Macaca mulatta: one gene and its partner. The protein of the gene in region 1 binds, or shares a complex with, the protein of each later gene. Links are inferred from orthologs where the notes say so. Each region holds a gene or a part of one and is shown on either strand. Other genes may lie near its edges. The genes, in order: IRAK2 and IRAK4.

Evidence for each region.
Region 2: the proteins of IRAK2 (region 1) and IRAK4 are in contact, whole or in part, in a crystal structure (PDB 3MOP), measured with the Homo sapiens proteins. The link is inferred for Macaca mulatta from reciprocal best matches to the Homo sapiens genes IRAK2 and IRAK4. Residues at the interface, in NP_001561.3 of Homo sapiens: Tyr6, Ile36, Lys44, Met48, Glu59, Trp62, Trp63, Trp64, Gly65, Met66, Arg67, Gln68, Ala69, Gln73; in NP_001107654.1 of Homo sapiens: Asp24, Phe25, Pro28, Gln29, Lys34, Glu92, Phe93, Phe94, Ala95, Pro96, Ser98, Val105.

The regions. Positions count from the first base shown.
Region 1 is NC_133407.1:149,069,444-149,073,265, reverse strand, and holds part of IRAK2 (interleukin-1 receptor-associated kinase-like 2), read right to left. Parts: intron 3,256-3,822; coding exon 3,060-3,255; intron 1-3,059. UniProt on the Homo sapiens protein: Binds to the IL-1 type I receptor following IL-1 engagement, triggering intracellular signaling cascades leading to transcriptional up-regulation and mRNA stabilization.
Region 2 is NC_133416.1:50,785,327-50,789,079, reverse strand, and holds the end of IRAK4 (interleukin-1 receptor-associated kinase 4), read right to left. Parts: intron 3,674-3,753; coding exon 3,611-3,673; intron 929-3,610; coding exon 770-928; intron 646-769; coding exon 610-645; 3' UTR 555-609; downstream 1-554.

The DNA of each region.
Region 1 (3,822 bases):
AAAATCCTTCAGCTATGGCAAGCAGGCATTGCTGTGTGAATCTCAGGAAAGGAAGGAGTCTGCATGCAGGCAGGTATCTCTTCCAGACAAATCTTGCAGCATCCATAGCATGTTTCACTCACAGGCCTTTCCTAACATTATTCATTAGTGCAGCCACTCGCACAAGGAGCACAGCCCTGTATACATGTAAGTCACCAGAAAATTGGCAAACCATGATATATGTCTTCATAAACAGGAAACCTGCTTTGAACAGGGTTTCTCAGTAGAGACAATGCCATGATGGTTAAGGGCTCTACAGTCAGGCCTGAGTTCAAATTCTGACTCTGTTCCTTACATGCTCAGGTGATCTTTAGGCAAGTAACTAAAACCTGAGCCTCAGTGTCCTCATCTGTTAAATGGGGACTAGCAGTTGTGAATATTAAAGGTGTGAATACCACACACTTAGTGTGGAATCTCTCTCCCACAGCATCTCTCGAAGCAAGTCAGAATAGGGTCACATTTATAGCCAAGAATCCCTCCAAGCCTGGAGGAAAAAGGATAAAGGTTTGAAACCACCCAGGATTAATAACAGACTGGCAGTGACCAGAAGAGGGCAGCAGAGGGCATCACTGCTGCAAGTGGGACAGGAGCCAATTGAAAAGGGACTCCTGACAGGTCCCTGCCAGGAAGGGATGGAACAAGGGGAAATGAATAAACAAAGATTTCCTGTGCCCCTTTCACAGGGCAGGCTCTGAGCCAAGTCCTTTATAGAGGTCACTGAGCACTCACCAAAAAACACTGAGCAATGCACTGTGCTGCCCACAGGAGAAGTCAAAGTTCAAAATCATTTCAGTCAACCAGAGGCAGGGCTGAGCAAAAGGGTGGCAGGAGACAGGGGGCATTCAATGAATGAATGGACGGATGGGTGGTAGATGAATGGATGGATGGGTGAATGTGTGGGTAGGTGGATAAATGGGTGGATGGATGGGTGGGTGGGTGGCTGGGAGGGTAGGAGGGAGGGTGGGTACATGGGTGGACAGGTGGGTAGGTGGATGGGTGAGTGGGTGCAAGGGTGGGTGCGTGGGTGGATGAGCGGGAGAGTGAATGGATGGATGAGGAAGTCACCTGTGACACTAACACACTGGTTAGAGGGTCAAGAGTAAACAGATATCAGAAGGAGGGTGTAAAGGTGGGAATAACAATAACCACAGTCATCATAATATTCTTGGTAGGTGCAGGGTGCAAGGTACCATGCTCACCTGCTTACATATATTATCCCATTTGTCTCCATGTATATCGTTAGCCCCATCTTACAGAAAGCATAACTGAGGCCCAGAGACAGAGGTGCTGGGTGTAGGTCACACAGCTGAAGGTAACTGAGCTGGGCCTAGGGGTTCCATCCCCCAGTTCTTTTCTTTTTTTTTTTTTTTTAGACAGAGTCTGGCTCTTTTGCCCAGCCTGGAGTACAATAGTATGATCTTGGCTCACTGCAACCTCGGCCTCCCAAAGTACTGAGATTTCAGGCGTATGCCACCACTCCCTGCCCATCCACCTGGTTCTTTTTTTTTTGTTTTTTTTTTTTTGTTTTTTGTTTTTTTTTTGAGACGGAGTCTCGCTCTGTCGCCCAGGCTGGAGTGCAGTGGCGTGATCTCGGCTCACTGCAAGCTCCGCCTCCTGGGTTTACGCCATTCTCCTGCCTCAGCCTCCCGAGTAGCTGGGCCTACAGGCGCCCGCCACCGCGCCCGGCTAATTTTTTGTATTTTTAGTAGAGACAGGGTTTCACCGTGGTCTCGATCTCCTGACCTTGTGATCCGCCCGCCTCGGCCTCCCAAAGTGCTGGGATTACAGGCGTGAGCCACCGCGCCCGGCCCCACCTGGTTCTTAAAGGAGCAGGAGCCTGGACTAGCCCTGCTGAGCTTCACTGAACAACTCGCAGTGGGGCTGAGGGAGGCAGAGGAACCTGCTGGGAGACACAGGGGTACAGAATCTGGGGTTCTTGCTGAGGGCAGAGGTGACTCAGGGCCACGGTTCTAGTGGCAGAGGTAGACAGGAGACTGTGGTCAGAGAGAGGAAGTACAGAGTTCAAGGCTAGAGAAGAAGAGAGGGTGAGGCCCACAGGGCAGCTGTATGCACTTGGCTGAAGCCAACCTGACTGTCATTCTTCTCAGCAGCATTTCCCAGACTGGGTTCCATGGAACACTGACGAGGACAGATATTCTGAGAAAACAAGGTTCCACAGTCAAATGAGCTTGGGAAACACTGCATACCCCTCTCTGGTGAATTCACAAGTCCCAGATTAAAGGCTCATTACCATCCTACCAGCTTGAATTAATCTTGTGGTAAAGAAACCTGCTTGGCTTTGCCTAATGCAATATTTCCAAGCCTGTCAAGGCATAAACCTTTTAACCCACCAATCCTAGAGATCCAAAGGAATTGGAGTTCTACAGAAATATACTCTGTAGACTGCTACACGCAGACCATGAGCTCCTGAGGGGAGGGCTGTGTTTTCGTTACATTCATATTCCTAGTGCCTGGCACAACACAATGGCAGACAAGGATGGTGGTGGTGGCAGGATGGGATGCTGGGTGGGTCAACGGTCGCTGAATGGATGGGCAGCTAAAGAGTGGATGGATGATCGGACAGCGATGAACAAATAAGGACAAATAGACAATTGGATGGACAGGTGGATGGCTGATGGGAATAGGGAAGTCAGGAGAGGATATCTGGAGCCTACTAGAACCTGGATACTCATGAGCGGTTTTCCTTCAAGGGCTGGCAAATTTCTTCTGTAACAGGCCACACAGTAAATATGTGAGATTTTGTGGGGCATGTTCAGTCTCTATCACATATTCTTTGGTTTAAAAATATAATCCTTTATAAATGTAGAACTACTCTTAGCTCACAGACCACACAAAATAGGCCACAGGCCAGAGTGGCCTGTGGGCCACGGTTTGACAGCCCCTGCTGAACTTTGATGGAACCCGTCTGTGTGCCTCTACCGTATCCTGTGATTACAAAGGAGCTGTGGGAAGGACAAATCAGGGCGGGCCCCAGTCTAAGCAGAGAAGGACGCTCTTACTATTCCACAGCTGAAGATGTCCACTCGCTTCGTCAGCTGCCCCACCCGGATGAAATCCTCTGGCAGATACGCAACTGACGCCTGGAACAGGTGAGTCTTCATCACGGTGTATTTTGACCTTTTGTTGACAGGACACAGGTGAGCCATTGGGTGAGCAAGCTTGGGGGTGAGATTTTGGTCCAGCAAGACATTAGAGCTGTGGAAACGAAAGGGGAGAGAACCTTCTCATTTTGAGCTGGATAACAACAGGTTGCCATGGAGACCCTTTGGGGAGACAATATAGTGGCAGAGCAACATCGGCTCCTGCAAGTTGAGGTCTCTAAAGACCCTCAGCATGGAGCTTCTGAGGCAGCCCTGACTGGGGAAGAGAGGACATCAGGAGCATACTCCCTCCAGCAAATGGAGATGGAGTTCAGAATTAGTCTTGCTGCCCCAGGAATGTGGCCAAAGAAGTGCAGCCTCCCTAATTCCCACAGACGCCAACCCTGATCAGCCTCAGCTTGCCAAGCCTATAGGTTGTGCAGACTCGGTCTCTTCCACAACTGTTCCAACCCCCAGCTCTGGCATGGCTGACTCAGGTCTAAGTGGCCAGCATCCTTTGTGACTAAACCTGCCCCAGATCATGTTAAAAAAAAAAAAAATCCCTCTTAGCCAGGCACAGTGGCTCATGCCTGTAATCCCAGCACTTTGGGAGGCAGAGATGGGCAGATCACCTGAGGTCAGGAGTTCAAGACCAGCCTGGCCAACATGCTGAAACTCCATC
Region 2 (3,753 bases), on another chromosome or scaffold:
TTCCACCCTACATACAGCCCAGGCTCTTTTTGCTAACTCTGTAATTTTCAAACTGTGTTTGATGCTTGGAGATATCTCAGGGATTACTGTAAGAACTGGGTGTGATACTAATGGGTAGGGCTAAGTGTTGATATGGTGGCTCTATTTTTATATGTTGGAAGTTCAACCCATGCTTTAATAACCACTGCCCTGCAACAGCCTGCACCTTGTTAAAGGTAAAGAAGAATATTTGGGAAAAAAATTAGTTAAAAAAATGGTTGAGGCCAGGCGTGGTGGCTCACGCCTGTAATCCCAGCACTTTGGGAGGCCGAGGCGGGGGGATCATGAGGTCAGGAGATCGAGACCATCCTGGCTAACACGGTGAAACCCCGTCTCTACTAAAAAAAAAAAAAAATTGCCGGGCGTGGTGGTGGATGCCTGTAGTTCCAGCTACTTGGAAGGCTGAGGCAGGAGAATGGCGTGAACCCGGGAGGTGGAGCTTGCAGTGAGCCGAGATCACGCCACTGCACTCCAGCCTGGGCAACAGAGCGAGATTCCATCTCAAATTAAAAAAAAAAAAAATGGTTGAGATAGGTGTATATAAAAAGTCAAGAGTCTATTCCAATAGTTTTAAGAATCTGTCATCTCTTGCAGCAGCTGTTGAACCTTATAAAAAGACATAGAAAAAAACAAAAGAACCACATTATACACTTGCTTTAAAATATACACTCTGGAAAATATGATGAACCCCACCCCTTTCACTTTTTAAATAAATAAACAAAATTCATACCTTCTTAATGTCTGGTCTCTTATTTTTCTTTTCATGCAGACATTGACTAGCAACAGAGTACATAGCTTCAACTGAAGTGGAATCAGCATCATTCATCTTTTTATCAATATAATCTTCAATCGTCTTTTCTTCATCTTCAATTTCTTCTTTAATATCTAGCTTTAAAATGAGTGTTAAAACTTTACGAGCTTCAAATCAAAGTGAAGGAAATTAGAATGTATATTTTAATTATTTAAATTAATCTACTTTGTAATAACATGTACTCTCATTTTACTATCTTATCTTAAAACCTTATTAAGAATTCAAGACCCAGCCTGGGCAACATGGTGAAACCCTGTTTCTACTAAAAATACAAAAAATTAGCCAGGCGTGGTGGTGTGCACCTGTAATCTTAGCTACTCGGGAGGCTGACACAGGGGAATCGTCTGAACCCAGGAGGCAGAGATTGCAGTGAGCCGAAATTGCGCCACTGCACTACTCCAGCCTGGGTGACAGAGCGAGACTCTGTCTCCAAAACCAAAACAAAACAAACAAACAAAAAAACAAGACATACAGGACAAATTCTATGTAAATAAGTACATCCATCCACCACAAAATGACATTTTGGTCAACTGGTCAATGACAGACCACATATAGATGGTGGTCCCATAAGATTATAATACCATATTTTTACTGTACCTCTTTTATGTTTACATACATAAATACTTACCATTGTGTTACAATTGCTTACAGTATTCAGGACAGTATTATGCTGTACAGCATATGTTTGTAGCCTAGGAGCAATACCATACAGCCCAGGTGTGTAGTAGGTCACATCATCTAGGTTTGTGTAAGTACACTCTATGAGGTTCACACAATGAAACTGCCTAACAACGCATTTCTCGGAACATATTCCTGTCATTTGGCAACACATGACGGGGTGTGTGTGTGTGTGTGTGTGTGTGTGTGTGTGTGTGTGTGTAATATAAATGTATATTTATTTATACCTTCTAGATACTTCCACCCATCTGCCTTCCAATTTTTATATTTATGTTATGAGCTAATTGCTTATATGTTTCCATTAGCAGCATTTACTAGGTGGGCAGCACAGCGTGGTCTGCTTCTTGATGTGCTTCTAATAGCGCAACTCCAATTTTTTGGACCCTGACTCCTCCTCCCTGTACCCAATAAACTTCTCTATGGGTACTAAGATTGTTGAATCAAAGAGAAAAAGGGAGGGGAAAAATGGGGAGCAGGCCATGATAAAAAAAAAGAATTAACAGAAAGAGAAGTGTAGGAATAAGATAGTAAGTTGGGTGAATCATGGTCTCCCAAAACATGTCTATGCCATAATTTCTGGAATCTGTAAATGTCCTCTTATTAGGAAAAGAAGGGCCTTTTTAGATGTAATTAAGTATCCTGAGATGAGAATATTCCAGATTATAGATAATCCTGGAGGTAAGCCCCACATCCAACGAGCAAGGCAAGATTCTCTCTGGAGCCTCCAGAGAGAGCATAGTCTTGCCAATACCTTGATTTCAGACTCTGGCCTCCAGAACTACGAGCAAATAAATTTCTGTTGCTTTAAGTCACACAGTTTTTGGTACATTTTTACAACAGTCCTGGGAAACTAATACAGATGAAAAAAACTATTCATGAGAGGTAAACTCTTCAAAAACACTTTCAAAAGATAAATTCTGAAAATGTTTGGCCATGGCAGAATCTAGTAACATAAGGGTTCTTCAAAGGATCATTTTTTTTTTAACTGTGCTTGTACAAAAATCTTATTACTTTAGAGTCACATCACAGTCAAACCTTAAGAATGGGTGAAAGAGTGTAATTCTCCAAAGATTTGTGATTTTCACTATTATATGATGAAACACAAAACTTGTGACTGAGATAGAGCTTATGTTTTTCTGCATTTCATCCTTACTCAAGCCAAAGTTTTGAGGCTTTTATATATTTTGAAAGAAAAAGCCTTAGGCAAAATGATGGAAAACTTAGGTAAAGTATATGCTGCATGCAAGTTAGTGAATCAATCTGGGTTCAATCTTGAGCCCTCCATACCCACAGAGGAGGTCATAGGAACTCCAACTTGAAGGCAGTTGGTCAGAAGTTCTGGAGGCCTAAACTTGCGACTGGTGTCTGGTGGGATCACAGTCTCAGGGACTGAGCCCTTAACCTGTGGGATCTGATTCTGATGCTATCTCTAGGAACATAGTGTCAGAATTAAATTGGAGGAGATGCAGCTGACTTTCGCTGCAAAGTAGACTGCCTGCTTGTTGGTGGAGAGAAATCCTCCCCACTCACATTTGGTCACAGAAATCTTCTGTGTTGATTGTTGCTGTGGTATGAGAGCAAAGGAAATACATGATTTGAGTTTTTCCTAACAATAGCAAATTTGGTATGTTTTTTATTGTAACTTTGTAAATAAAATACTCCATGATAGAAATAAGTAGAGAACTTTTACTAGCAATTTTATTCTGAGAGAAATTTGAACGGAAGCCATTTTTTTCCTTTCTGAAAATGTTGAAAACACTGTTATTAAGAGTAGCCACCCTGAAAGTAACAAAATAAACATAAGCTAAAGAGGACCTCAGAAATCATTTAGTTCTATTTTCATTTTACCCACAAAGAAATCAGAACAAAGAATATGTAAGTGACTTTTCTAGGCTTCACACATACTTCATGGGAGAGCTGAGAATGAAAAATATTTAATGCTTTTTCCATATGCTATTGTGTAATAGCCAATGGAAAGACTGCCAACAGAAAATGTTATTTCTAGATGTCAAATTTATCCATATAAATTTAGACTACAAAAGCAGAGAAAAAAGGATTGAGGAAAACGAATATTTCAATTACCAATAACTGAGGTTCACGGTGTTCATCCACGGCTGGAAGTCCAGTTATTATTTCTAGTAAAACCTATTAAGACAAAAAAATTTCATTAATATAATACACAAGACAGGCTGGGCATGGTGGCTAACGCCTGTAATCCCAGCACT